Linked DNA regions of Sus scrofa. The protein of the gene in region 2 purifies or fractionates together with the protein of the main gene of each other region. This does not show direct contact. Links are inferred from orthologs where the notes say so. Each region holds a gene or a part of one and is shown on either strand. Other genes may lie near its edges. The genes, in order: SF3B1, U2SURP and CHERP.

Region 1 (10,223 bases), on a different chromosome or scaffold from region 2:
AAAAAAAATAGTCTATATGGTTAACAGTTCTCTCAAATATTCATCTTTATGTGGGGTTGAAATTATGTGATTAAAATCCTAATTTATCCCTTGATTAACAACTTCTTGGCCAGTATAAATTTCCTGTACTCTGTCCCATGAGTATTGCATCAGTAATTGGTGTGACAGTGTAGCTTCTCTTTTTCAGATCCTAGTGGTCATTGAACCATTGTTGATTGATGAAGATTACTATGCTAGAGTGGAAGGCCGAGAGATTATTTCTAATTTGGCAAAGGTATTTATATTTCTGGAGAAGAAAGTTTTATATTAGTTGATGGGATTATTTGATTATAGAAGGAACTGTTTGGGGGGTAATGTTATCAACTCATAACTGTGCTTTTTCTTAAACTTTTAGGCTGCTGGTCTGGCTACTATGATCTCTACCATGAGGCCTGATATAGATAACATGGATGAGTATGTCCGTAACACAACAGCTAGAGCTTTTGCTGTTGTAGCCTCTGCGCTGGGCATTCCATCCTTATTGCCCTTCTTAAAAGCTGTGTGCAAAAGCAAGAAGTCCTGGCAAGCTAGGCACACTGGTATTAAGATTGTACAGCAGATAGCTATTCTTATGGGCTGTGCCATCTTGCCTCATCTCAGAAGTTTAGTTGAAATCATTGAACATGGTAAGTTGTGTTATAACTTTGTTTTTTATAAGACAGATTTCTTGAAATTTAGGCTACAGATTTTGGAGCGAGAAATGGAAGTGAACTGCCTAAACACCATATAGTTTATGATGGGATTTTTAATAGTAGCTGCTCATAGGTTGTGGTTCATACTGGCTTTGGTCTAACTTTGTCTAATATGAACAGCTTCAGTTTGACTTAAGTTGTTATGTGTATCGCTAGAATCTTGATATTATAGAAACTAGGTAAAGTTACTCAGTGGAAACCTGTGTTTGGTTTTTTATAGGTCTTGTGGATGAGCAGCAGAAAGTACGGACCATTAGTGCTTTGGCCATTGCTGCCTTGGCTGAAGCAGCAACTCCTTATGGTATCGAGTCTTTTGATTCTGTGTTAAAGCCTCTATGGAAAGGTATACGCCAACACAGAGGAAAGGTAGATCCATCAATTTGATTTCATTTTTCTTTTTATTTCTACTTATTGAAGTGACTTAAATCTAATGTAACAAATTTGTATTTTCAAAATTTTAAAATAGGGTCTGGCTGCATTCTTAAAGGCTATTGGGTATCTTATTCCCCTCATGGATGCAGAATATGCCAACTACTATACCAGAGAAGTGATGTTAATTCTTATTCGAGAATTCCAATCTCCTGATGAAGAAATGAAGAAAATTGTGCTGAAGGTAATTTTTCCAAATTATTGTTCCGGATTTGTCAATCTAAATTGGGATGTGCTTCAACATTCAAAGAGAATTTTATATCATTACAAAATATTGTATATTAAAACAGAACTATGTTTACTGTTACTATTTTTCAACCTTTCAGGTGGTAAAGCAGTGTTGTGGAACAGATGGTGTAGAAGCAAACTACATTAAAACAGAGATCCTCCCTCCCTTTTTTAAACACTTCTGGCAACATAGAATGGCTTTGGATAGAAGAAATTACCGACAGGTAAGCCTTTGCTGAAGAAAAAAAGTTTTCAAAAATCCTTTCAGCTGATCCTTTAGTCTAATTCGAATGCATATTACATAAATATCTTTTGCTTTGTGAACTTTATAGGTTGGTTGTGCTTGATTGTCAAGGAGATGGATTTTAGCCAAAATTAACTTCCCTTTTGATTTTGCATTCTAGGATAAATAACCAACTACAAATTGACATTTTAGTAAATGAAGTCCTTAATCTGGATAGGTGAAGCATGAATACAAATTTAACCTTAAATTACCTTGATTTAGACTTAATTTAAATTTTTTGGTCACCTTTCTCTTAAAAGTTTTTATAATATAAGTCAGTTGTTCTCAGCATATTACTAGCTAAGTAGTATCTTTAGAATATTCCATTTTCATGATGTCTCTTTATTTCCTTGAAAAAGCAATGAATTACATGATTGCTTTCCTTCTTTTTAGTTAGTTGATACTACTGTGGAGTTGGCAAACAAAGTAGGTGCAGCAGAAATTATATCCAGGATTGTGGATGATCTGAAAGATGAAGCTGAACAGTACAGAAAAATGGTCATGGAGACAATTGAGAAAATTATGGGCAACTTGGGGGCAGCAGATATTGATCATAAACTTGAAGAACAGCTGATTGATGGTATTCTTTATGCTTTCCAAGAACAGACTACAGAGGTAATGACACTAATTATTACAGCAAGTTGCCACTGACTTTCATATTTGTAAAACATTTTCAAGCAAGTATTATTACTTTATAAGTAATTAAATTTGAAATAATTTTGGCGTTCACACTGTGGCACAGTGTGTTAAGAATCCAGCTCTAGTGGCTTGGGTCCCTGTGGATGTGCAGGTTCAATCCCAGCTTGGCGCAGAGTTAAAGGATCTGGCATTGCCCCAGCTGTGGCAGAGGTCACAGCAGTGGCTCAGATTCAACCCCTGGCCGGGGAACTTCCATATGTGGCCATAAAATTAAAAAAAAATTTTTTTGGAAATAATTTTTTGAAATGCTCATGTTATCTTTTAGTTGGCTACAAAGGAATATCTTCTACCTTAAGTTTTTAGATTAGAATTTTGAAAAGTGAATATTAGTATGTTTCAACTGTTCAGTCACAAACTAAATGCTTATTCACATTGAATGTGGTTTTTAAATTTAACTTGGCTTTTCTTTTTTTTTCCTGTTTAGGACTCAGTAATGTTGAACGGCTTTGGCACAGTGGTCAATGCTCTTGGCAAACGAGTCAAACCTTATTTGCCTCAGATCTGTGGTACAGTTTTGTGGCGTTTAAATAACAAATCAGCAAAGGTTAGGCAACAGGCAGCTGACTTGATATCTCGAACGGCTGTTGTCATGAAGACTTGTCAAGAGGTAAACTTTTGTATCAGATTTTTATTTCTTCACTGAAAGGAGTAATGTACACAGTAACATTTAACACTTTTTTTTTTTTTTTTACTATTACAGGAAAAATTGATGGGTCACTTGGGTGTTGTTTTGTATGAGTATTTGGGTGAAGAGTACCCTGAAGTATTGGGCAGCATTCTTGGAGCACTGAAGGCCATTGTAAATGTAATAGGTATGGAATTTGCTGGTCATGTAAGATTTTTTATTTTTAATTTGCTTTGTTTTTTGAAGGTAAAATTACAGAATCCTGTTTAGGAGTTGAGTAATGAATAATGTCTGATTTTTTTTTTTTTTTTTTAAACTAATGAAAATTACAGTTAACGTGGGATGTCGCTAGAGTCTTATTTCCCAAAACCCATTTATATTTTACTTTAAAAGAGAAAAGAGGGCAAATTTAGGACCTTCAAGAGAGGAGGGAATAGTCTCAACTCAAAAAATTTTGAAGTTTTGTGATGACCCTAATAATAATACCTCACCTGAAATATATGGGGGGAGAGGTAGAAGGTGGAGAGAACCCTGAAATTTTAATTTTAGGACTAAATATTATATATTTATTCCACCTTAAATTAGTAAATGGTTATGGTAGGTTTTCCTGGTTGCTATCAAGTTCAAGGAACAATAACCAGGGAGAAAAATGAATTGATCAAGTAACCTCACTTTTATTTATATCCATTTCTTTAAAATTGTCTATTCAGCTTTTTAACCCAAGTTAAAACACAGGTATATTACAAATGCTCTTTGGTGTGTAGAACAGGAGCAAATGTCTCGTGTTTTATCCTTCATTTTATTGAACATAACTATTGCAAAAATAACTGCAGAGTTTAAAGGGGCAGAAATAACCTATCAGGAGGTCAATATAGCTGGCTGTGATAGCCACTGTTTTTTCTCATTTTAGCAAGGGGTTTTGATGCAATACAGGAGATCGTTGAACCATTGCATTTACATATAATCCCTAATTCAGCCCGGTGCTCTATACTTGGAGATACTTGCCAAAAATCAGTTACTTGGCTACTTGAGGGACTCTGATTTGTAGGGAATTGTAAACCATATTGTTTGTAAGAAAACATGGGAAAAGCAATGGAGAGAGAATCAGAGCAAGCAGTTCTAGTTAGAGCAAGAGCCCCTGCCAGCTGCCTCCTTTTTTCTCTCTTCATAGGTGTAAATACCATCCAAGTATGCCCTGCATTGCAGGGAGACTGGAGATCTGTTTGTTTTGCAGTTAAAGGGTAAGGGGGCCCTTTCTGGAAAATTTTGCTTTAATTTATATGTCTACCTCTGGCTTATATTGTTTTGTATGGCCGGAACTTAAGATGTCCCCATATTTAAATGTCAGTGTACAAATACATTTCAGAACCAAATAAAACTTTTTTGTTGTTGAGTATCCATCATTTCTTTAAATCACTTCACTAATTTCTTTCATTTCTGCATAATCAGAAGTTGTTAATAAAAAGTTAAAAAAAAATCCTGCATTTGGTCAGAATCTGGGGCATTTTCTTTTCCATAGGCAGCTGTAAGTTTATTTATGCCTAGTCATGTATATTATATTGCTAAATAAAAAGTAAAGTGAACAGAAGTTGCAGTTCTAATGTTAATTGATAGTGTGTTGACTTCTATTAATTAGGTATGCATAAGATGACACCGCCAATTAAAGATCTGCTGCCTAGACTCACTCCCATCTTAAAGAATAGGCATGAAAAAGTGCAAGAGAATTGTATTGATCTTGTTGGACGTATTGCTGATAGGTAAGCAGATTACCTAAACATTTCTATAAATGGTATTATTGGCTTTCACATTTATTCACTTTCAAATTTGTTTAATGTTGCTAATGTAAGTAAATAGGCTTCAGTTTGGATTGTCATAAGGAAATGGAGGTATATTTTTAAATCTAAATCATCCTGGATTTCCTGTCGTGGCTCAGTGGTTAACGAATCCAACTAGGAACCATGAGGTTGCGGGTTTGATCCCTGGCCTTGCTCAGTGGGTTAAGGATCTGGCCTTGCCATGAGCTGTGGTGTAGGCCGGCAGCTGTAGCTCCGATGAGACCTCTAGCCTGGGAACCTCCATATGCCATGGGTGCAGCCCTAGAAAAAGAAAAAAAATTAAAGCACTCTTTCTGAACATTAATAACATTTTTATTTAATGCTTAAAATGTATTGGTAATCATATTTACCTTTTAAAACTTCTCATCACAAAAAAATTTTACTTTTTTTAAAATCAGGGGAGCTGAATATGTGTCTGCAAGAGAATGGATGAGGATTTGCTTTGAGCTTTTAGAGCTCTTAAAAGCTCACAAAAAAGCTATTCGTAGAGCCACAGTCAACACATTTGGCTATATTGCAAAGGCCATTGGGTGAGTATTATTTACTTCTATGTTTTTTTATTTTTACTTTCATTGTGTTGAAAAGATACTTCTACTTCTGAAGAAATTTTTTTTTTTAAGCGATCTCTTTTAAGGAATGGTTTGAGTAATGCAGTAAGAATGGCCTTTAACAACACTGACCTTCAATTTTTGAAAATTTCTTTAAATTTTAAGTGGAATTAAAATAGATGGAAGCATTTAAAATTTCATTTAATCACACTTACTGTTTTCAGAGAGGGAAACTACCATTTCTGAATAATTTCAAATTTTGTTGGTCCTTTTAGAATATTGCTTAAAATGTTAAGGCCAGTTCCTAGTAAAACAATTACCAAAATTCACTTCTCATGTTAATGCTTTATGTGTTTTAAAAATATTTTTCTAAAATAAATCTACAGACAACTGAATTATAGCTATTTTATTAGATAATATAAATACAACCACTCACCAGAAGCAAAGGAGAAGAAACATTTGTTGTAGAAAATGAGATACTTATGTACCTGTGGCTTAATAACAAAGAAAATACTTTCAGGCAATAAAACAAAAGTCGGATTAATTAGAGTCTCCTTACCCTCCTTTTGATAGCAGTAATGTTTATTTCACCTAGCTTGTAAACAGATTTGCAATGAATAGCTTTTGTGCCAACTTTTTTAGTTCCTATGTCCCTCTAAGTTTGTGGTAAAATAAATGTATAAAGGAGAATAAAGATAATAAAGGTGCGTGGGAGGGAAGATAAAAGTAAACCAGATTTTTGCTGTGGCACGGAAGACTGCTGTTGAGGATACTGTTGTAAGGTTGCCCACCTCTAGTGGCCATGTTCTGACCACACAAAGACTTCTCAATTTAAGCATTTAATGAAGTTTCTTTGTATTTTAAGAAGTTTCCTAACGACTGTAAGTTACATTTGAAAATGAGTATATTTGAATTTTTTCATTAAAATGAACATTTTAATTTAAATGAAGTTCTTCAGTAGAAACAATAATGCCAGTGATGTGAAAAGTATTGTATTTTATCATAAAATTACCAAGTTCATAAAGTTTCATTCAGTTGCATTTTTTTCTTCCCTCTGAAAAGTTTTGACTTGTAATTTAACAATTTGTTGACACATTTATTTTTTTCCAGCCCTCATGATGTATTGGCTACACTTTTGAACAACCTCAAAGTTCAGGAAAGGCAGAACAGAGTTTGTACCACTGTAGCAATTGCTATTGTTGCTGAAACATGTTCACCCTTCACAGTACTACCTGCCTTAATGAATGAATACAGAGTTCCTGAACTGAATGTTCAAAATGGAGTGTTAAAATCACTTTCCTTCTTGTTTGAATATATTGGTGAAATGGGAAAGGACTACATTTATGCTGTAACACCATTACTTGAAGATGCTTTAATGGATAGGTAAGTAAGTGACTTGAACTAAATTCAAGAAAATAGTTAAAATTCTTACATTTTAGAACTTACTGAAATAATTATTACATGACCTGTTTGTTGTGATGCAGCCGAAGTAGGGCTTACTGGCCTGGATTTTTATGAAACTGTAAACATGACTGTTATCTTCAAATAAAATACATGCTATAGTTGTTCCCCAAATTTTCTTTTCCAAGTGCCCTTCCCCTTTTCATATCTATTAGACTAAATACATTTTGAAAAGCAGTAACTGTTCAGTTTTTGTTTTAAAAATTAAGTCAAATATAGAGGAATTGATGAGTGTGAGCTTATCAGTGTGTCAGAACCAGTCTTTTTAGCTTTTTGTTGTGGCAGGTGAAGCTGAGATTTCTGTTAGGATTTTGAACTACTGAGTGTAGCCTCCCAGACCCACACTATTCCCATTGCAAGCCCCCAATTAAACAGATGGTGACCACCGATAAGTTCGCCTTGAGATGATTGAGAGAGTCCTGAAACCTTTACTATCTAAACAGACACAATAGGAGTTTCCGTCTTGGTGCAGCAGAATCGAATCTGACTAGGAACCGTGAGGTTGTGGGTTCAATCCCTGGCTTTACTCAGTGGGTTAAGGATCCAGCATTGCTCTGAGCTGTGGTGTAGGTCACAGATGTGGCTCGCATCGTGTTGCTGTGCCTCTGGTGTAAGGCCAGTGGCTACATTTCTGATTTGACCCCTAGCCTGGGAACCTGCAAGTGCTGTGGCTGTGGCCCTAAAAAGACCAAAGTAAATAAATAAACTGACGTAATAGCTTTAAACACAAAAGTAGTTAAAAACTTGTAAACTGGGGAAATAACAATTAAAAAAAATTTTTTTTAAAAGAGCATGTAAAGGAAAGTTAAAGGTCCAAAGTAGTAAGGGAACGGACTGTTTCACTGGCTCTTTATTTTTCAGGAAAGATAAGGAAGAGCCCATTCATTTACTTTTGTGTGCATATTAAAGTTACTTACTAAAAAAAGTTATTTATTAATGATCTTCCAAAAGGGAGACTAACAGGACTCAACAGGTTATCCCAGGGCATATATGGAAGATACTGAGACAGAATAAGAATCGCATTCTATAAAAGCTTGGCCATCTGAGGTCCAGTAAAGTGGGAGTAAATCATACTTTCCCAAATTCAGTGAGATGTGCCTGAGCTTCATAGTGTGACCACTGATGTATGTGATCTGCAGTTAAAAATTATGTTCTGTGGAGTTCCCTGAGTGGCACAGTGGGTTAATAAGGATCTGGTATTTTCATTGCTATGTCGAGGGTGCAATCCCTGGCCCCAGAACTTTACATGCTATATATAGGTGTGGCAGAAATAAAAAATTTATGTTTTGGGAGTTCCCGTCGTGGCGCAGTGGTTAATGAATCCGACTAGGAACCATGAGGTTGCGGGTTCAGTCCCTGCCCTTGCTCAGTGGGTTAACGATCCGGCGTTGCCGTGAGCTGTGGTGTAGATCGTGTAGATTGCAGACGCGGAGGCTCGGATCCCGCATTGTTGTGGCTCTGGCGTAGGCCGGTGGCTACAGCTCCGACTGGACCCCTAGCCTGGGAACCTCCATATGCCGTGGGAGCGGCCCAAGAAATAGCAAAAAGACAAAAAAAAAAAAAAAAAAAGAGAGAGAGAATTACTGGTCCTTCTATTCCTTTCCCCAAGTTGAGAATGAAACTTAAAATTTTTTTTATAAGGAAAGGGGCTTAATCTCAATTTAGTTATCTATTGTATGCCGATATTGAAATACTTGAAATACTTTAGAAGATTTTAAATTTATGATGTTTTGGAGTTCCCATTGTGGCTCAACAGAAACAAATCTGACTACTATCCATGAGGATGCAGGTTCAATCCCTGGCCTCTCAGTGGGTAAAGGATCTGGCATTGAGTGAGCATTAGTGTAGGTCACAGACATGGCTCAGATCCCATGTTGCTGTGGCTGTGGTGTAGGCCAGCAGCTGTAGCTCTGATTTGACCCCTAGCCTGGGAACCTCCATATGCCACAGGGGCGGCCCTAAAATACTAAATAAATAAATAAATAAATAAAGTTACAGTTTAAAATGAGATATTACTGTTAATCACTTGTATGTACAGTCATATAACCCTTTTAGTAGCATACAAAAATGTACATTGCACCGAGCTTTCTTAGCTCATTACTTCCAAAGCAAAATAAATGTGGTTTGTTTTTGAGCCATAGTGAGGTTTGAGTTATTACAGCAAAAGTCTCAATTAGTCTCTATAAAAGCATTCTACATCACATACATACCGTGTGAGGATGACTCTCAATCCATTCTATGCAGTGAATTTGTGATTTAGTTTCAATGGACAGGCAGGTATTTTCTGTAAAACTAAGACTGTATCTTAACACAGAGCATTTTTCCCCTTCCATTTCAGGGACCTTGTACATAGACAGACGGCTAGTGCGGTGGTGCAACACATGTCACTTGGGGTTTATGGATTTGGTTGTGAAGATTCGCTGAATCACTTGTTGAACTATGTATGGCCCAATGTGTTTGAGACCTCTCCCCATGTAATTCAGGCAGTTATGGGGGCCCTGGAGGGTCTGAGAGTTGCTATTGGACCATGTAGAATGCTGCAGTATTGTTTACAGGTAGGTTACAGATTTTTTAAAGTGTGCTTGTTGAAAAAAATAATTTAGTTGAATTAATTTACTGTTCCTAATTATCAACGGGATGTGCCCTTTGGGAAAACGGTTATCTGGGGAAGGAGGATTAGATATTGTCCTTTCCTACTGCAATTTTGTGCAGTTGTTAGGTTTTTCCCCCTCTAAAGGGAAATGTTTACAGCCATATATATGGTTAGTTTGTTAGTTATGCTAAAGTTATGTATTTCTTGAAATAATGCAACGTTTTTAATTATTCCAGGGTTTGTTTCACCCAGCCCGGAAAGTCAGAGATGTGTACTGGAAAATTTACAACTCCATCTACATTGGTTCACAGGATGCTCTCATAGCACATTACCCAAGAATCTACAATGATGATAAGAATACTTATATTCGTTATGAACTTGACTATATCTTATAACTTTATTGTTAAATTTTGTGTTTAATGCACAGCTGTTTCACAACTTAAACTTGCTTCGATTTGGTGATGTAAACTTTTAAACATTGCAGATCAGCGTAGAACTGGTCATAGAAGAAGAGCTAGAAATCCAGTAGCATGATTTTTTAAATAACCTGTCTTTGTTTTTGATGTAAACAGTAAACGCCAGTAGTGACCAAGAACACAGTGATACACACATTATACTGGAGGGATTTCATTTGTAATTCATCTTTATGAAGATTTAGAATTCATTCCTTATGTTTAAAGGGAATGTTTAATTGAGAAATAAACATTTGTGTACAAAATGCTAATAACTTGTGTGTGTTTTTTAAACATGACTTGTAAAATGCGGAACTTTGATCAAGTATTGGTTTGTGT
Region 2 (10,223 bases):
GTAGAGAAGGAGCAGGCAATCAGACAATCACAACAATATACAATGACTACTACAACAAAGAGATGTATCACATTATTAGAATGTGTAATAAGTTGGTTCCACCTAAAAAGTCTGAGATGGTTCAATGAATTTATGCCCAAACTAAACTCTGAAGGGTTTCAGGTAAAGAGGAGGTGTTCCAGAAAGAGGAAAGAATGGGTACAAAGGTCTATGCTAAGAGGAAACATAGTTAAAAAACTGATACAAACACCATGTGGTCAGAGCAGGGAAGCCACTAAGAAGTAACTTGTAGAGTGAAAGTGACAAGAGATAGCTGGGTTAGGATGGTAGAAATGAAGATAAAGGCTTTAAGAACTATTGAGGAGGTAAAAAAAAAAAAAAAAAAACAGAATGGTGATAAACAGAATCTGCTATCACTGTGGTGCATTTTCTTTACATATTTACTTACATAGCTATCCTTAGTTTAACAAAATGAAACCATGCTACATATATTGCTCTATTACTCATTTTTCTACTAATATGCAATAAATCTTTCCATGTCATCAAATTAAAAAAAAAGTCATCAAGTTTCACATAAGGACACAAAACAGAGAAGCCTTGTTACAAGTCATTTCAGCTCCTGGGATCCAGCAATTCCAGGAACAAATCCACTATTTAATGGTAAATAGGTATTTTTCACAAGGAAATGTTATTCATATCTGTAATACATCACACCTCCACAGCATCCCCAGAAATAAATTTTAAGGTAATCAGACAAATACACTGAGTGCCTACCTCTGTTTCCTTTTCTTCAATAATATTTACAAGTCCTAAGAAAATATTTTGTAGTTTGATCAAAAATGGTTCTGGATAAATTGCCCAATCTTCCCACGCTCTAAAGCAGGTCATTACCCGTTGCTAATAGGAAAAAGACAATGAATTATTTTTTAGGGCAACACATATCAAACTTAGCTCATGATCAAGTACCATCACAAGTTGCTGTATTTTCCTTTAAACCAATATTCTTTTTAAAATTCAGAGGACAAATATTTACAATATCTTTTTTAAAAATCAGTATTACTTCCCAATTTAAAGGGGACAGAAACTAAGAACAAATAAAAAACAAACAGTAACTGTTTGCTCTTGGCCATCAAAGATCAAGGTCCCATACCACTGGTGGTACACATGAGGTCACATTCTAGGAAATACTAGCTAAGAAACTTAAGAAAGTTGGATATCAAGGTAGCCAAGTTTTGATCTGAATTCCTTTAAGGTCTGATGAAGTACTTCCTGATTCTAGCTTTATTCTCTATCCCATCCTTCAACTTTTCTATAAGCTGTTTTATGATCAAAATTTAAGGTCAAAAATTTTTTAATGAAGTTGCTTGTTTGATCCCCCTAAATGGTGGGATCTTTGGGCATGTTCTCAAGCTTAAAATTTCCTTAATCAATCTTCTTTTCAAGAAAGTATACTTATTTTTTTCAACTACAAGTATTTTCTTTTGGCTTAACATTGGTCTACAGATTAAGAGCAGCTTTATTAAAAAATTAATAACTGAATATACTTTCTAAACATGAATAACTAAAATGTATATTCCTAATTGGGCCAAATTAGATATACCACTACAAAACAGGTAAACTTCTGAATGTTTTCTGTGAAGAGAAGACTTATAACTTAAATAAAATTCTTAAAACTAAAACAGACACCAAATAATCTAACTAGATATATTTTAAAATTTCAGATTTTTTTGATACTGAAAGTAAAATGGTAGTAAATTTTTTTTTTTTTTTTTTTTTAATAGCTGCACCTGCGGCACATGGAGGTTCCTGGGCCAGGAGTTGAATCACCACAGCTTTCGACAACACTGGATCCTTAACCCACTGAGGCCAGAGATTGAACCCACATCTTCACAAAGACAACATAGGGTCCTTAACCTGCTGAGCCACAATGGGATCTCCAAAACGGCAGTAAATTTTACAACAATTTTTCAAACATGTAAGTTATGTCTTACACTTGGCTTAATACTCTTCTAGCCCTCCAATGTGCTTCCTTGCCTCCATGTCTCATTTAAAACAGCAGGACAAAAATAATCAAACAATAAACGTACCTTGAAGTTTTCAGACTGTAAATGGCCTTGAATTGTACGATAGGTAGCATTGAGGTCTGAAAATATCTGACATAACTTTGTTTCAAAACTGAAATTCAAATAATATATCTTTTACAATAGAATTTGCTTTAAAATCCCTATCCACTTCAGCATGCTAGCCAACGAAAACCACTTCTAGACTTTTTAAATTTCATAAATAATCAAGTAATTCAAGAACTAGGTGTTTAAACTTTAAAACTATAACTTTAACACCTATTATTCTGAAATTTTCTTCTACAAAATCTCCTAGAGTTTTAAGAACTAGTTCCCTTGATCAAAAACAAACTTCACAGCCAGGATAGTAGTCCACCTAGTCCACAAAATTAAGCAGAATTAAGATTAGGACCAATATATCTAAATTTCTCTTCAGAGTCAGTTTCTAAAGAAAGGCTTCCCTAACACCAAAAAGGAACTCAGGGGAACTGAGGAAGAGTTATTTATATTTGCCATTACTTCTACTGTTTCAGCTTATTTATTATACAAGTGACTAAATATGCAATAGAAATAAAGTCATATTTTGACTCTTCCTATTTGTTCTATTATCAAGTTTATCAAGAGATGAATACAGTTTAGTTCAACACAATCCAATTTTTTTGAAAATTCTACAACTATGTAGAAATTCAAATTTCTTATTATTGAGGGTATTAATTATCAAAAACTATCCTCTTTTTTGAGCTCCTTACCCTTAAATATTTTATTTTAGGAATATCTGCTTACACCACTATACTTACAATTTTCTATAATAGGAAGCATTGGCAACTTTGGCTGAAGAGTTGTATAACACATCAGAAACCAAATATAATCTGGCAATCTAGAAAGCCAAAAGGTAACACAAAACAGATTAAAAATAAAAATCAACAGAAAATATATCTTTTAAAAAAAATCCCTTATTCAAATTTTTTGAATCAAGATCTTAAGGCTGATGTTTACCTATGATTTAAAAATCATAACTAATTAGACAAGCTATAAGAAATTCGGTATCACTACACCATGACTTTGATAGGGATAAAACCTGTCATTCATTTATATTTCAACCTGTTGGTAACTTGAGTATCATCCAACCTCCCCAAGCAGAAGGAAAATAAAACTGCATGGGAAAGATTTCTTCAGTTAAGTCTTTCATTTAAAACAGAAACCAATTTCAATCCCAAAAGAAATCAACTATTATCTTTTACTTAGAAGTTCCACAAAGAGAAATCATTCCCATACCTTTTTGGGAAGGGGTGTCTTTAAGATGGACAATGACTCAGTAATGCAATCTACTATTTCTTCAGCAGCTTCAGCATTATTAAGACAGAAAACCATTGCATCTCCAATATCATTTTTCCTTGGCGTTAACCCCCGCAGAATTTCTTCTAATTTGTCCCTCTGTCTGAATACAAATTTTTTAACTTATAAATATTTATAGATACAAACTTTAAACGCCATTATAGTTCCTACTGACAAACTATTGTCTTTAAAACACAGTCAGATAAAATTCTGAAGACTAAATTGTGTTAAGTCTGATTTGTGTTACATATTCCAAATGTTACAATTTTTTTGGAAAACTTATATGGGGAAGGATATTTTTTCAGGAACTAATAAATTATTTCAGTGACTTTCACAGTTTACAAATTAAGCAAATTTAAAATTATAGGTATTTTTTCAAGAGTCTTTGAGAGTGTCCCAGTCCTACTATCCTATTACACTGGAGAGAAAAGAAAAAAAAAAAAAAAACCTTCATATTTTTCACTCTCCTTTCAAGGAAGTCTGTTAAAGTATATCCTATGCATAGGATGAGGACAAGCTACAAATCAAGGATTGACAAACTTTTCCTGTAAAGAAAGGCCCAGAGAGAAATATTTTAGGCTATGAAGGCCATAGAGTCTCTGTCAGTTCCTCAACTTTGCTGCTGTAACACAAAAGCAACCATACATGTAAAGGAGTGGGTATAGTTGTGTCCAAGAAAAACTTTATTTATGAAAACAAGAGGCAGCCAGATTTACTCTATGGACTGAGTAAGCAGATCCCTGGGCAAAAGTAATGATGAACATACAGCTTCAGAAGCAAATACACTCTCAGACAGTATAATTATCTATTAGCAAATATTCTCACAAACAATGCATCAATGCAACTAGTATTAAGATTTATGGACTATACAGTGAAGTATATAATCCTGTAAACTAAAAATTACTTTAGCCTTTTTTCCCATCAGGTACGCAGAACTTCCTCTGAACGTTAAATCTGCTTCTGCTTCTTAAACCAGGCTAACTGCATTATAACAATGCTGACTGAGCACTTAATAATATACACTTCCAGAGTGGCCACATATTACACTCCATGATGAAGCTTTGCAGTCACCCATCTGACTCCACTAAGCCATATGATAATTTTTTCTCTTTATGTTACAGAGAGGCAAGAATTCTAAAGGCCCTGAGAATTTCTATAAGAATATAAAGAATTCCACTGCTAAAGGACCATCACTTAAGAGATCACCATTAATTTTTACCAGCAGAAAGAAGTCAAGTTCAATAGGACACATACTTATACTTATCAAAATGTGTAAAATTACAATGTGTTATGTCAAGTGATGTTACTCTTTTAAACATTCACAAATTTTAGAAACCATTTTAGAGTTAACATTATCTTAGTAAGACCATTATTTAAAATGACCATTGAAACAACTTTTCTGAATATATAACAGAAAGGAAAAAGCCTTACTCTTCCTTAAGTGCTCCCTTTTTACTAGGCTCCTCCACAAAAGCTTCTGTTTCCTGCTCTTCTGACATCCCATGCAGGTATGGATTTAATGGTGGTGGCCTCCAAAACGATCCATTTTTGAACATACGAAAATCTTCCGTCCGCCACTTAGTTGGAGAATCTCCCTAATAAGCATCCACAATGTTATTACAAAGTTCTAATACCTCAGAGTCAAAATTAACAAAGTAATTGTTTATACTTACCTGCAGAATAGAATAAAGCTTCCACCTATAGTAAACATGGGCTGGTGTCTGGTTTTCAAATAAGAATCTAAAAACAAAAAATTAAACATCATATTCTTTAATGGAGAACTGCCTTCAAGTAAATATAAACAAATGAGAAATATCTGCTTATTTAGTTCTAAATAAAATCAAAGGCAAATATCCCTTAAGAGAAATCCTCATCCCAACCCCAGACCACCTTTGTAACTGACATTAATACTCAGAAGATATACACACACCCTGCTGAGTCTTACAGTTTTATCAAACACTTATGTGTCAGATACTGAGTCTGGCAATGGAGAGGTTTTCTCAAGATAAAATCTCAAAAGCAGTGGTTTTCAAATGATTTAAAATTGTAAATAAATGTTAGATATCACTGCTATTCAGAAGATGAGCTCTTTCCTATAAACCTCATTTATCTTACCATAATCTGCTTATGAAAGCAGATTCCACTGAAAAATAAAATGAAGAGTATTTTCCTCCTAGAGAATGCTAAAAACAATGCTACTTAATTAACTAAATCATTGAAACCATTGGAAAACTGATCCAAGCACAAATTCTAGCCTAATTACTAAAAGTGCCTTCTCACTCCATTACAAAAACCTCATTGTTTTTCAAATTTTATTCTTGGAATATTCTTAATTTCAAGAAACAAGTTTAAAGCATTTTTTAAAATGCACACCTGAGGATAAACAAAATGTGGTATGTACATGTGATGGAATATTATTCAGCCTTAAAAAGTAAGGAAATTCTGACACATGCTATACCAAGGATAAACCTTGAAGACATTACGCTAAGTAAAATAAGCCAGTCTCAAAGTACAAATAGGGTATGATTCCACTTAGATGAGGTACCTAGAGTAATCAAATTCAAAGAGAGAGAAAAGTAGAATGGTGTTTGCCAGAGGCTGAGGGACAAAGGGAATGGGGAGTTATTGTTTAAGGGGTCAAGTTTCAGTTATGGAAGATGAGAAAAGTTGTGACAGTTGACAGCAACATAAATGTACTTAATGCCACGGAATGCTACATGTAAAAATGGTAAACTGCATGTTATATGTAAATCTCACAATTTTAAAAAATGCATACCTGAACATAGGATTGTTGATCTCTCTGTTCATAATCATAGCTTCGAACATTGGCCCTTCACGTACAACAAACTCTATCATTCGATGTATCAGGGCGAGCAAATTCCTACAACAACAACACAGTTAAAGAAAATGGATTCAGACCTACCACTATATAAAACTATACTTGAACTAAGTTACTAAAATTGTGCAGAAAAAGATTATTCTGCTGACTAATACAGAATTTTAAACCAAGAAAGTAGCCTGGAGCATATGTTAACACCTTGTGCATTAAGAGGGAGTGGGGCAACAGGAATAAGGGAGTGGGAGGGGGAGGAAGGTAAGGGAGGGTAGGAAACCACAACACAGCTTCATAGTAATAAAGATTTCAATTTCTAAATGCCACTTAATTTTATTTTCCAAATGCAAAACATTAAATTATGTGTCACAACTAACTGGAAAGCTGCAAATATATAAAATCCATAACTTTGAACTTATATGTTATCATAGCCATCTAAAAACTTACACACTAATCTCAGTTTAAAGAACATTCCTACACCAAGCACTTTTGTGGTGGTATTGAAAAGTTATATACATGACTATAATTTTATAAAAATGCAAAACTATTTAACAAGTATAAGGCCTGATTTAATAAAAGAAAATCCATCCAACTCCTGTGCTTTTCTGGTACACATGTAGCAGATGGAGTTTTATTGAATCTGACCTTTAATGAGGCAACATCCCTTTGGACCACACTTCAAATTAGTTCACACAGTTCATGACAAGTACAATTCTGCCTGTGTGTTATGAATCAATAAAACAGTTATATTGTCAAAGCCTTAAATGAATGGAGTCCTCTTTCCAAAATATTCCAAAATAAGGGACATAGTAATACGTCCTTTCTATTTTTCTTAACAATTACTTTCCAATATTTATCCAGAAATAAACATATGTGTTTAACTTTTGTAATTTTATTGTTTGGGCTTATAGAAAGTCTATTTTTTAAATCTGAAGCCAACACCTTATTAGACTCCAAGCACCAATTTTAGACATTGATTACAGTGTCAAGCAAAAGTGGCTCAGCTTATTACAGCTATTCCTGATTTCTCATTTCACTGGGTCCCCAGCATATAGAGTTGGCAAATAACAATCGGGAAAAGCAAAAGGATATTGGCTCTTGGTACAAGGCACACACTAAGTTACACCTTTAGCATTCCCAGATCAAATTAAGTTCGTATAACTGCTAAAATATAAATAAATATATAGTTATAGGATAAGACATTTTTTGGCTCTATAAAACCCTGCTTCAGAGTACATGAACAGTAAAATATCTCATGGTGATAATTATTTTCTCACAATTTTCAAACAAACCTACTTTTAAGTGGATACTTAAATCTCTACATAGTGAAAAAAATAAAATTTCTTTGACCTTCTAAAAGAGATCAAAAAAATTATATGAAAGTTTAATAAGTCTTTAACAAAGGGAAAACTACATATTTAAAATGAATTCAATTTCAAATTGTTAAAAACAAAAAACCAAAAGCATCACTTATTTTTAAATTTAAAAATTCTTTTTCTTTTGTAGAAGTATTAACTGCTCTGCAAATATGCAGTTCTTGATGTATAAATGAAAATGTATTCTTAACATCCATATGGTTAATTACATTGTTTTGAAGAAGGGAAATAATGCAAAGTTATGATTCAGTTCTGAACTCCCACTGGTAGGGAAATTTTATGTATCATAATATATAAAATCAATTACTAGGTGGATAAATGCTATACATCCAGAAACTTGTATGAATTAAGTCAAAAGCAACTTGACTTGCATATTAAAGATAGATGAAAAATGGTTTAGCAAGTTTAAAACAAAGGATTCATTGTAATGGTCAGTCAAGACTTTACAACAAAGTGTGTACTCAAAATTTTGTTTAGAAATAAGCTAAGCCACATGAAAAGCTAATACTGGATATATGCTTTTTGAGTGCTACAAAAATACTTTCCTATGAATGCTTTGTCAGTGGAAAAACCACTATAGTTTTAAACAGGCTTGTAACTGATAAATCTATTTTTAGAAAATTTAACGTTTAAAAGAAGTTTTATAATGTTTGATGACTATTTAAAATCAAAATCTGACAATTAGTTGTTGTAACTCAAATTCAAGATTACTAAAGGACTGTAATCACTCTCTTGTTTTCCTTAAGGATGTGTTTCTTATTTTTAAAAGGGTGACTTTTTTCAGAAAGAAGCAGTGTAGTACAAAAAGATGATATATTTTAAAGTGCATTATTTTATTTTAAAATGGTAATTATCTTATTCTGGGCAACAACAACAAAAAAAAAAAAAAAAAAATTGTCTCTCAGTTATAATAAAACCACATTTATTGGAGTCGATCGTACCAATGTCTGGTCAAAAACTGTATACTTTCCCAATCCATCCCATGATGTTTTCCTGGTCCCCCGCTGCCGCAGACAGTTCAGCTGGTGTTGCTCACCAAGGCCAATGTCAAAGAGAATTTGGTATTCTTTTGTGTTCATTTATTATTCAACCAGTGTTGTGTTCCTGTGTTTGGGAAAAGGCTTAGCTTGACTGAGCAAGAGCATACCTAGAGCATGAATTCTTCTGCTTTAACATTATGTTGAAAAATAAAAAAAGGAAGAAAAGAAAATAAAAGAATTCCAAACACCTTTGTTATCATGAGAAGTTTCTAATATGTTCAGTGTTCATGAAAATAATAGAAATGCCTTCTTAAAATCATTTAGGAAAAATTAAAACTATGCCTTCAGAAAGGAAAACTCAAACTAAGGTTGCATATTAGACAATTCAGAAACAAGAAAAAAAATAACAAATTGGATCAAATTGTAACATCTAAAATTTAAAACATTTAAAACACCTATTTTCCTACCACAACAGTCTAATATTAGACTAACAACCCCAGATTATATCTATTAAACACATTCTAACTACTAAAGCTATAAAAACCCTACATTGGTAATAATAAAAACAAAAAAGATAATGACATAAAATTGCAAAGTATACTAAAGTTAGTTAAATTTCACATACGCCCCCCCCAAAGTACTGGGAAGGAACCATTGCTCAGTCAAGATATTACCTTTTCCTCAACACCACTTTTTTTTTAATTCAGAAGGGGATATTGTCTATATTTAGATCAGTAATAATAAAGAAAAACATGTACCTTTCTGTTGGGATAACCACTTTGACTATGGCTTGCGACAGAGTCTGTATATGAAGTCACATCAGATAATAAACATAGAATATGTGAGTATTGTTAACAAGTAACAAGCAAAAATATACATATGCATTGAAAATACTACACATCTAATCACAAGTTTTGCAGGCAATCACTGCATTTGAAGTAATTATACACTAAGCAATTACATAAATGCAAATGGATGTGTTCAGTGAACAATAAACGTTCACCAAATGCAAAGAATCAGAACATTCCTGTCAGAATGCACATCAATGCACTGAAATAGGTACTACACTGAGAATTATCAGATACTACACTGAGAATTATCAGATAAAGATTTTAATTTGTGAAATAATTAACTGTTTGCCTCTGACCATACAGTTTGCTACTTTGTTCCCAAGCCTTTAAAACCAGCCCTGTCATTTTAAAGTGTAATTAATTCATAATAGAACCAACAAATTCTAACTTGAAATTACGCTGGTTTTATGTTTAACAAAAAGAAAATACTCACCCTTTGCTTTTACTAGAGTAGTTAACCTCTTAAAAACCATAATGCTCTCAAATATTCCAATACCTCAGATCTTGAGAACTAAGTTATTAGCTAGCTGCCATCCCAACAATTTGACTATTTAAGAGGTCTTTCTAATTGAAAAGGTACTTAACCAAATACAAAGTATCACTTTCTCAAAACAAAGTAAGTATCAGATACTACACTTAAGCAAACCTGGATACAACAGTGGACAAAGGAAGAAAAAAACCTAACAAGTGGTCAAAAAAGAAATGGTAGTCCGAAATAAAAATTTGACCTAAATATCCCAATACAGGGTTTCCATGGGCTAAGGCAGGGAACACATCTAGTTATTTCT
Region 3 (10,223 bases), on a different chromosome or scaffold from region 2:
TTTTTTTAAATCGCTTGTTCTTCTGGGAATATGGATTAGCTCGGTCTTCACGGTCCCATTCGCTGTTCCCGGGGCTCTGCACCCGTGCGGCAGCTGGGTCCCAGTGTAATGGAGAACGGGGTTATCGATCCTTTTGCTGGGCTCCAGATCAGGGTTTACTCTTGTTTTGCAAACGTGATGACTGAGGTCAGGAAGGTAGTGACTACTTCAGCGGTTTCCAGGGAGGAAGTAGTAGAAGCCAGATTGGGTGAGACCCTTGGGGCAAATACTGTCCAGCGAGGTTTTTGTGCATTTTAAGATGGTTGTAGCCTAGATCAAAAATGAGTTGTTTCGTGGGTATTAGTTCTTGGTATCAAAATTCCAACCCTCTTCTAAAAGAGCTTAAGATGGGGTTGGTTAACACAGTTGGTCTCTGAATAACAGATAATCACCAGGTAGTAAAGATCCCTGAACCCACATCTGCCCTGTTCAGTAGTGAATCCTTAGCTTCCAGATATGTTGTGTTCTAGATTGCCAAGTAGATGGACATTGAAAGGTGGATGCTCCCTGAACTACAAGTTCCCCACGGCCAACCGGGCCTTGTTTGGCATTGTTGTGCCTAATAGGTAGCACGTAGTAGGTGTTCAATAAAGAGTTCATAGGACACAGCAAAGGTTCAATGGCTTGAACAAGCACAGTGTGTTTTGAGAGCGGAAAGAAACCTCAGTCATCACGTTTGCAAACACAGTGTGTTGTGAGCAGCCCAGCATGGCTGGAGTTTTGATGTGTGTCGACAGGGTCGGGTTTGATCTGGAGTGGTAAATGCCAGGGAAAAGCTTGGGTTTTCTTCTTTAGTCTGGTGTTCTTCTGGTGCCTGTGTATGTTTGAGATGAGGGTGGAGGAGGTCTGTTGCCTGAAAATGTTGGGTTTTGGGTGACTTGTATGGAGGACAGATTGGAGGGAGCATTGAGTGGAGTCTAGGACCAGTTTGGTGGTAAAATCTGAATTAAGTTGGCAGGTCGAGTAGAGAATGTGGGCCTGGGGACAGTTGGGGTTAAAGGGAAGGGCCAGTTGGATATTGAAGCAGGTGGCATAATTGGGCAGGGGAGGACAGTGTTTTGGCTCCGGTTCCTGTGAGGTGAGAGATGCTTTCCCTGCAAGGGGAGCCTATTCCCATCCTGGAAGGTCAGAAATCAGGACCTTCTTGGGACGTGGTGCTATAATGGGGGTTGGGATGCTTCTGGAAGGGAATGGGGCTCAGAAAGTGTTTTATGTAGGTAACTGTTGCCATTAAAGTTCAAGTCATTTAGCTGATGGGAACTGACGAGACAAGTGTGTTCAGGCTGAGGAACACGCCTGAGGAGGGGTTGGGGAGAGAGGGGACAAGAGCTCAGGGTGCCTGGAGCCCAGAGAAGGAGGGATTCTTGGGGTGGCCAGAAGGGAGGGTGCAGAGCAGGTAGGGCTGGTTTGCCAAGGATTCAGGAATTCTGGAGGCTTTTGGGGAGCTCTTGAAGGGTTTCAAGACTATGTTCTGGAGCAGGGTTAGCCACTGTGTAGCCCGCCCTTCACCCTGGTAGTCTGAGAAGATTGAGACCCTTGACTGCTCTAGCATGTTGCCCCACAGACTGTGGTAACGGACTGGTTTTTGTTTTTAACAATTTGCTGTGAAAAGTACAGTTTTGCACAGTAGAAACATGAACCATGAAATATCAAATTGCTTTAAAAGTGCCAAAACGCTCTCTTGGCATTTCTGTGCTTGTTTATAGTCTCGGTATCACCTGGGGTGCCTTTTGGACCACACTTGAGCAACGGTACTACAGCTGTGAGTGGGGGGGACAGGAGTGGACACAGCACAGGAAACCAGTTCCCAGGGTGATACAGGTGACAGCAGAGTTATGGTGGTGATGGCAGAGACATGGACAGGTTGGCATGTGATCTAGGGGAGTACCTTGACTACAGTTTAGTATGAGCTGCAAGGAAGAGAGGTGTCTAGACTTTCTTGGCTTCTGGCTTGAGTATATGGACGTAGCTGTGCCAGCCACAGGTCAGGAGGGGGACTTTGGAAGGGGTAGGGCACAGGGTGAGGGGAAAGTGATGCCTATAGAGAGCAGTGGGCTGTTTGGTCTGTAATGAGACCCAAAGCTTGAGGAACCCAGGATGACAGTGATAGTTTATGGGGTAGTAGGGTGCAGACTGTAACTGCAGCCCCAGGAGTATATCATGTTTCCCTGGGGGCTTACTTGGAAAAGAGGACTTAGTTCACAAACTGGGCATAAGGGTCAGACAGAGGAAGGAGGGGCCAAGGAGACAGCTATACCAGCCACGTGAGACAAGGAGCTGAGATGAGGCCGTGGGGCTGAGTGAGGATGACCCCCAGAACTTTGGCTTTGGCTATGGGGGTGGGGTGGGCAGACAGAGCCAGTCCTCCATGGGTTGAGATCAAGGGGAGACGGAGAATTGTTAAGAGAGGTGGGTGGGGTGATGGGAATTTTGGGGTGTTTGTTTTGTTTTTTATGGCCTCACCTGTGGCAAATAGAAGTTTCCAGGCCAGCGATTGGATTTGAGCTGCAGCTGTGACCTACGCCACAGCTGTGGCAAGGCTAGATCCTTAACCCACAGGATTGAACCTGTGCCTCTGCCACAACCAGAGCTGCTGCAGTCGGATTCTTAACTCACTGCACCACAGTGGGAACTCCTGTGAAAAGGGAGTTTTTATGGATAGGAGACACGGGTGTGTTTAAATACTGCTGGGGAGGAGTCAGTAGAGAGAGAAAATGAAAGGAGAACTAGGGAACAGATTCCTAGGAGGGCAGAGTGGGTGAGATCTAGGGCACAAGTTAGGAGATCATCCCCCCTGCCTCACACCTGAGCAGCAGTAGGGCCCCCTGTGATGAGCCCTGGGTGATACCTTCCACCCGCTGTCCCTTCTTTGGCTTTGTCAAAAGTCGGGGCCCCCTTAGGGTGGGACTCAGAAGGGCTCCAGCAGTGCATGGTCACACTCAGACTGGACAAGGCCCAAATGCTGAGAGGGGGTCTTCTTGTCCAGAGACCCTTCCCATCTCTTCTGATGAATGCAAGGCAGGAACCCACCCCATCCGGGATCCTGCCAGCAGGATGGAGCATCCAATGCCGCCTCCATCTGGATTGATCTTTTAAGGCAGAGGGGCCTCCTTCTCTGAATAGAGTCAGTGGAAGGAAGGCTAGGGGTGGGGTGTGGAGAGGCCACAGCATGTGTCTGGGGTGCCACAGTCAGTCATCCAGAGGTCCAGTGGCTTTGATGTCTTGAAAGGGAAGAGTAGCCTGGGGGCCTCAGGCCTTGGAGTTTGCTGCTGCTGAGGAGGCTGGAGGTTGAGAGACCCCTTGGAGAGGCTGTTTCTCCAGCAGTGCCTTGGTCTCTGTTCAGCATTGGTTTAGGCCTAGCCAAGGTGTGGAGAGGGTGGTGAGGGATAGGCTCAGGCTTCCTCTGGCCCAAAGGACAGTGGGCAAAGCCAAACAGTGTTGGCTAGAGAGTGGTGAGGTCTCCAAGAAGAAGACGGGCAGGAAGGGGGTAGGTCAGATAGAAGCGGTCTCAGGCTAAGCACTGGGAGACTGGGGGCAGGCGTGGCCACGGTGCATTTCAGGGGTCCTCTTTATTGGGTGGTGAGTACAGGATGGGGAGCCATTGTGGCTTAGAGCTGCCCCAGAGGCAGCCAAGGGGACATCTGGACCCCGGCCACCTCCTCACAGAGTCCACCTCTCCTCCCCTCCTGCCAGTCATCTGCAAGCAGCAGGCCCCAGAGCTAGAGCCAGCTGCCGCCCTGCCACCCCTGCCACAGCCCCCGCTGGCCCCTGCTGCACCCATCCCACCAACGCAGGGCACCCCGTCCATGGACGAGCTTATCCAGCAGAGCCAATGGAACCTGCAGCAGCAGGAGCAGCACCTGCTGGCCCTCAGACAGGTATGGGCCCAGTCCTTCCCCCCACCAGTCCAGAGCCTGCCCCCCTTCCTCTCTCTTCCTGAGGCGGGTTCCCGGAGCTCACCCTCTGTGCCTCAGTTTTTGCATTGGTACCTTGGCGCTAATGATAGATGGCACTGCTGAGGAAGGGGACTCCTGTTGCCCAGGGCTTGGTTCATGACAGTTGTTATCCCTCCAGTGCTGCTAGCACCCATGCTGTGTTTAGCTCGACCCCTGATGCTGGACACTGAGGTTGCTTCTTATCCCAGTGAGATCATTGCACGAGCTCTAAAACACGCACACGCATTGTGCTAAGTGGATGCCAACAAATGGGGCCGCAAGTTAGAAATTGTGTGACAGAATGCCAGGTGGCGTCTGGTGCCATTGGCACCAGCCCCTGCTAGTTAGATTGCCCCAAGCTATTGTAGGGAAGGTCTTTTTTGTCCTAGTCCATCACAATCTGATACTTTGGCCAAAGAGAATAGGATGAATTGATAGAAAAATGAAGTGAATAAAAAATGAAAAAAAAAAAGAATAAAAAATAAAAAATAAGAAGTCAAGATAGAGAGTTACTGTTGTATAACTTTAAAAAACACATATATATACATGTATATTCCAGAACACTCAACCTCAGTTTCCGCACAGGGCTCATCACAGACTGGGCAGTCCAGCCTCGGCCAGCCCTGGGCTGACCGCTTGTCCCCCAGCAGCACTGGATCTTAGCCATGTCTCATTTTGCCAACCTAATGGGCAAAAGCCCGGTGGCATCTTTTAATTTCCAGTTCCCTGATTGTTAGTGAGGTTGCTCTTTTACTGGACTGGTAACCATTTATATGTTCCCTCTATACTGTGTTCACTCCTGTTGCTCATGTTTCTTTCTTTTTTTGGTGAATCAATGTTCAGAGGTTCCTTGTTCCTCTGGGCCTTAATCTTTCTGTCACCCCAGAGAGACCATCTCCCCCTGTATCTTGTCTGACTTTATCCTTTGCCTGTTCTGCCTCCTGTGGCAGGACTCACAGATGCATGTCTTGGGCTTCCGGCATGAGGGATAGGTTAGACCTACTTGGGCTGGGGGCAGAACACTGATGTGCCAGCCTGGAAGGGCCCAGGGCCGAGGCCTCTCCTAACGCAGTCTCGGTCCCACCTGGCCTCCCAGGAGCAGGTAACAGCGGCTGTGGCCCATGCAGTGGAGCAGCAGATGCAGAAGCTCCTGGAGGAGACCCAGCTGGACATGAATGAGTTTGACAACCTGCTGCAGCCCATCATTGACACCTGCACTAAAGACGCCATCTCGGTGAGAACAGGGGAGGCGTTCCCAGAACTTGCTACTCCCTTCTGGGGCCAGGGCTACTCTAAAGGCATTCTGTCTCCTTTCCCCACTTTTCCCTCTGGAGCACTTCCCTGGGCTTCCTCCAACCAAGAAAGAGACAGAAGGTGGGCAGAGGTGACAGGGTTTGCGCACATTTTCAGCCCAGGGAGGCCTGGCCCCTCTTACCCACTGCCCCGGCTTTGCAGGCCGGGAAGAACTGGATGTTCAGCAACGCCAAGTCCCCGCCCCACTGCGAGCTGATGGCGGGCCACCTCCGGAACCGCATCACGGCTGACGGAGCACACTTTGAGCTGCGGCTGCACCTCATCTACTTGATCAATGATGTCCTGCATCACTGGTGAGGGCCCCGCCAGCTCCACCTCCCTCCTGCTCCCTCTCCTTCTCTTGGCCACTGCTCTGCAGTCAGTAGTCTGGCCTATCCTGGAACTGGGGATCACTCTTCCAAAGTCCCTGGGGGAGGGTCAGTCTCAGCCACAAATTCTCCATCAGGAGGACACTCATCCCCCACAGCTTGGCCCCTACCCAGACCCCTCATCCCCCCCTGGGGCCACTGACCTCTCGCTCCTTGTTCTCCTCAGGGCAGCTTCTGGTGTTTTTCAGTGTCTGTCAGCTGCCAGCTCCCTTTCCCTGACCTACACACCCGCCCAGTCACTTGATTCTGCTTTAGGAATCTTCCCGTAGGGTCCCCTTGGCTAGACCTCTGTTCCACTCCACCGAGAAGGGCCCCCACCTCCCTAGCTCTCCCAAGACAGGAAGGTCCTACTTCCGCATGGTCTCTTTGGCACCTAATGACAAAAGTTAATTTAAGAAACCAGGTGCCTGGGCCAGAGAGAGGCAGAAGCATGCGGTGCTAGCAAGGCTAGTGTGTCGCTGTGAAGACTGGCTGCCACATTTGACTTTGAACTTGGCTGGCCGAAGGGAGGGTTCCCATGAGGGCAACAGAATCAGACCCAGGTCTTACCCTGTCTTCTGCCCACATGCAGCCGATGTCACCCCTCCCCGCTTCCTTTGCCACGCGGGTGGTTCCATTTTCTCACTCAGCTCTCCCTGCGTCGCCTTCCCTTCTCTGCCATTGGGAAATAAGCAGCTGTCTGGAACCTTGTCTGCCCTCCTGTTCACCAGCCGCTCCGCTGACTGGGCAGCTCTGCGGAGGCGGCCCTGTTTGTGGCACTTCTCCAGCCATACTCTTCCTAAGCCTCAGTCTGTCTGGAAGCCCAGTGCCACTTGCCCTGTCCTCCTGGCCCGACTGTCCTCCCTCCCCTCCCCCCGCTTCCCAGCCCCAGGCACTTGCTGCTCTCCGGTGAGCTCTGCGAGGGGAGAGGTTCCAGCTGTCCACCCTCCTTCCCATGTCCTCCCCTGGGATGGGATGTGCTGTCCAGACTCTGCCACTTCAGTGCACAGTCACAGGGGCCTCCACACCCATTTATGCACAGAGCCCCCCCAGAGGCCAGGCCTCAGGCTCCTAGGCACCTGGCAGCTCACATATTCCCTTTGCCTCCTGGAAAGCAGGGTCTTAGGTTTCCTGTGTGGAGGGGGTGACAGTGCTGAGCGAGGCTAGGTGGACAGGGCCCTGAGCCCACAACAGCCGTGGCTTGGTCTTTGTGGACAGCCTCTACCTGTCTATCCTCAAGCCCCCTTGAGACAGAAGGGTTATTTTACTGATGAGGGGACCAGGGTGACAGATTTTGCTGTGAAGGTCCCCAGGCTGTGTTCTTTCCCTCCTCCCATTGCCATGGATCTGTCACTTGGGCCCAGGCGCCAGCACAGGTCTTGTGGGGGGCTCAGCCCTTGTCCCGGCTGGGTTGGGGGCCCATTTCCCGAAAAGGCAGAGGGTGCTGTGGCTGGAGCCGCGATGGTAACGGGCACGTGGCCGGGTCCCGCCCCAGGGCCCTGACGCGCGGAAGGTCTCTCCCTCACAGCCAGCGCAAGCAGGCCAGGGAGCTGCTGGCCGCCCTGCAGAAGGTCGTGGTGCCCATCTACTGTACCAGCTTCTTGGCTGTGGAGGAGGACAAGCAGCAGAAGATCGCTCGGGTACATGGGTCAGCCGGAAGGGGCAGGGGAGGTGGGCGAGGGCTTCTCAGGGCACTTGTTTTCCCCCTGACGCGGCTTCTCCCTCCTCCCCCACATCCAGCTACTGCAGCTCTGGGAGAAGAATGGCTACTTTGACGACTCCATCATCCAACAGTTACAGAGCCCAGCCCTGGGGCTCGGCCAGTACCAGGTGAGTGCCACCACCATTGGCATGGCTCCCTGGGGCCAGGGTGGGTGCCCCTGGAGTGTGTGGCCACTGCCACCCCAGCACCTTCCCAGAAGTCATGGGACCTGGTTTCCCCACCCAGGCTGGGAGCCGCCAGTGGCGTGGTGACCTCAGAATTCTAGGAGTTTCTGTCTGTGGCTCAGTGGTTAGCGGACCCAGCTAGCATCCATGAGGACATGGGTTCAATCCCTGACCTTGCTCAGTGGCTTAAGGATCCTGCGTTGCCATGAGCTGTGGTATAGGTTGCAGATGTGGCTTGGATCCATCGTTGCTGTGGCTGTGGTGTAGGCCGGCAGCTATAGATCCGATTGGACCCCTAGCCTGGGAACCTCTATATGCCGTGGGCACAGCCCTAAAGACGAAAAAGACCCCCCCCCCAAAAAAAAGAAAAATTCTGGTAGCTTTTTCCCAACTGGGCTTCCAGGTGTGCCCCTGGGTTGGTAGTGGGAGGTGGGTCTGAGGAGCGGCTTCCGGGGACGCCCCCAACCCACCCAATTTAGAGCCAGTGAGCCCTTCCTAGGTGAGCCCACCAGACTTTTTTCTTGTGACGAGACTTAATGACCAGGTTGTCTGGTTTAGGTACTCCTCTTTGTAGTGTCTTTGGCCTGTTTGCTCTGGTCCTCCATGCATGATGGGAGTGTGAGGAAACCCCAGTGTAATCTGGGCTGCCATAGTCATCGTGTCACCTGTGACCCCTGTGCACACATCTGCACCTGTGACCCCTGTGCACAGTCATCGTGTCACCTGTGACCCCTGTGCACACATCTGCTTCTGAGGGGGCACCTGCTCAGAGGACAGGGTCGCAGGGCAGGAAAGGAGGGCTGGCTCTCCTTGGTCACCTCTGCTTTGGCCCTGGCATTGCTACCCCATCTACAGCTGCTAGGATAAAAGGCACAGCTCACACCCCATTTTCTCAGGCCAGAGGATGTTGTCATCTTGTAAAGGTCTGATTGACCGTCAGAAGCTCTGTGTTGATTGTGTCCTCTGTCATGTTTCTGACCTGCACCTTCCCCCACAGGGGAGAAGCTTTCATGCTCAGAAAAGCAAACAAGGGGAGTTCCCGTCGTGGCTCAGTGGTTAACGAATCCAACTAGGAACCATGAAGTTGCGGGTTCGATCCCTGGCCTTGCTCAGTGGGTTAAGGATCCAGCGTTGCCGTGAGCTGTGCTGTAGGTTGCAGATGTGGCTCGGAACCCATGTTGCTGTGGCTCTGGCGAAGGCCGGTGGCTACAGCTCCGATGAGATCCCTAGCCTGGGAACCTCCATATGCCACAGGAGCGGCCCAAGAAATGGCAAAAAGACAAAAAAAAAAAAAAAAAAAAAAAGCAAACAAGGGAAGTGCATTTCAGACTTGCACTAAATTTTACCCACTTTTTAAAATTGCTGAATAAAAGACAGGCTCATACCACAGTGACATTCACTGCATTTCTCCTCTTGAGTTGGTGGTAGCAGCCGCCCTAGTCCTTTTCACTGAATTTTTCTCTGATCCTTAGATTTAGGTCCCATTATTGTCCCATTTTACAGATGAGGAAATTGAGGCTCCAGGGAAGTTATGACGTGCCCAAAGCCATACAAGGTGTAAGAAGTACAGCCTGTAGACATGTCCTAGGATGTTTGTCAGTGGTGGGATTTTAATGTCTGTGTGGCAGTCCAGGGCACAGCCATCCTTGTGAGGGAATTCTAAACTGCCCTGCACTGAATGTCACCAAGTCTGACTAGACTGAGGTGTTCTGCGGTTGTCAATCCCTAATTGACTATTTTATGTGACAATCCCCTACCTGCACTGGGCCCCTGAGCCTTGCTGCCATTGGTAGCACCCTGACCTCTGGGTGCTCCTGGACTTTGGTCCCTGGTGCTCCAGAAGGTCTGGGACTTGAGTCTCACATTCTGAGCGCCGGTTGTCCTCTCCACCAGGCGACCCTCATCAATGAGTACTCCTCCGTGGTCCAGCCAGTGCAGCTGGCCTTCCAGCAGCAGATCCAGACCCTGAAGACACAGCACGAGGAGTTTGTCAATAGCCTGGCCCAGCAGCAGCAGCAGCAGCAGCAGCAACAGCAGCAGATCCAGATGCCACAGATGGAGGCTGAAGTCAAGGCCACGCCGCCGCCACCTGCCCCACCCCCGGCCCCCGCGCCAGCCCCGGCCATCCCCCCAACCACCCAGCCTGGTACGCGGCTCCCTTGGCACCCACCCTCAGGAGGCAGCTTCCAGAGAGCAGTCTTCTTCCCCAGGAAGGGCTCTGGTTCTGTAGTCTCAGGCCCAATCCCAGGAGCAGATTCTAATCTACTTACAAGCATCAGGCAGGTGATTTCACAGGTAAATGTACCAAACCCTTAGAACTGAGACAGTTCTATCCAGACCATCCCAGAGACTGCTAGTCAGGTCATTTTTTCCGAGGCTAGTATAGCTTATACCGGGTGGTTGTGGACAGGGAATTAAAAATATATAACTCAGTATCACTTCTGAACAGACAAGCAAAACACGAAATAAAGTCTTAACAGGTGAAATCTAGCAAAGTATTTAAAAGATAAGTCATGACCGAATAGGACATTGTCTCAGGATGGTTAAATACTAGAAAATCTAACAAAATCCTAGGTCAGATAGGAAGGAACGATCTTTCAGCTAGGTGCAAAGAGGGTATTTCCCTAAAATGCAGTGATGGTAAAAATTCCTGAGCAAACTAAAATCAATTTGGCAAAAGTAGTAAGAGCTCTCAAAGAAG

Evidence for each region.
Region 1: the proteins of U2SURP (region 2) and SF3B1 purify together in Homo sapiens (affinity purification with mass spectrometry; 4 studies listed by BioGRID and IntAct, with this or other methods). This does not show direct contact. The link is inferred for Sus scrofa from reciprocal best matches to the Homo sapiens genes U2SURP and SF3B1.
Region 3: the proteins of U2SURP (region 2) and CHERP purify together in Homo sapiens (affinity purification with mass spectrometry; 4 studies listed by BioGRID and IntAct, with this or other methods). This does not show direct contact. The link is inferred for Sus scrofa from reciprocal best matches to the Homo sapiens genes U2SURP and CHERP.

Annotation. Positions count from the first base shown.
Region 1 is NC_010457.5:101,276,781-101,287,003, reverse strand, and holds part of SF3B1 (splicing factor 3B subunit 1), read left to right. Parts: intron 1-187; coding exon 188-274; intron 275-394; coding exon 395-665; intron 666-951; coding exon 952-1,097; intron 1,098-1,197; coding exon 1,198-1,344; intron 1,345-1,486; coding exon 1,487-1,612; intron 1,613-2,064; coding exon 2,065-2,286; intron 2,287-2,794; coding exon 2,795-2,977; intron 2,978-3,070; coding exon 3,071-3,182; exon of another isoform or gene 3,183-4,236; intron 4,237-4,631; coding exon 4,632-4,752; intron 4,753-5,228; coding exon 5,229-5,360; intron 5,361-6,488; coding exon 6,489-6,761; intron 6,762-9,177; coding exon 9,178-9,394; intron 9,395-9,668; coding exon 9,669-9,827; 3' UTR 9,828-10,223. UniProt on the Homo sapiens protein: Component of the 17S U2 SnRNP complex of the spliceosome, a large ribonucleoprotein complex that removes introns from transcribed pre-mRNAs.
Region 2 is NC_010455.5:83,728,032-83,738,254, reverse strand, and holds part of U2SURP (U2 snRNP-associated SURP motif-containing protein), read right to left. Parts: intron 9,387-10,223; coding exon 9,343-9,386; intron 6,277-9,342; coding exon 6,172-6,276; intron 5,136-6,171; coding exon 5,069-5,135; intron 4,991-5,068; coding exon 4,827-4,990; intron 3,499-4,826; coding exon 3,336-3,498; intron 2,938-3,335; coding exon 2,858-2,937; intron 2,176-2,857; coding exon 2,088-2,175; intron 898-2,087; coding exon 775-897; intron 1-774.
Region 3 is NC_010444.4:61,063,666-61,073,888, forward strand, and holds part of CHERP (calcium homeostasis endoplasmic reticulum protein), read left to right. Parts: intron 1-3,732; coding exon 3,733-3,917; intron 3,918-5,070; coding exon 5,071-5,208; intron 5,209-5,429; coding exon 5,430-5,581; intron 5,582-7,130; coding exon 7,131-7,275; intron 7,276-7,375; coding exon 7,376-7,465; intron 7,466-9,415; coding exon 9,416-9,668; intron 9,669-10,223. UniProt on the Homo sapiens protein: Involved in calcium homeostasis, growth and proliferation.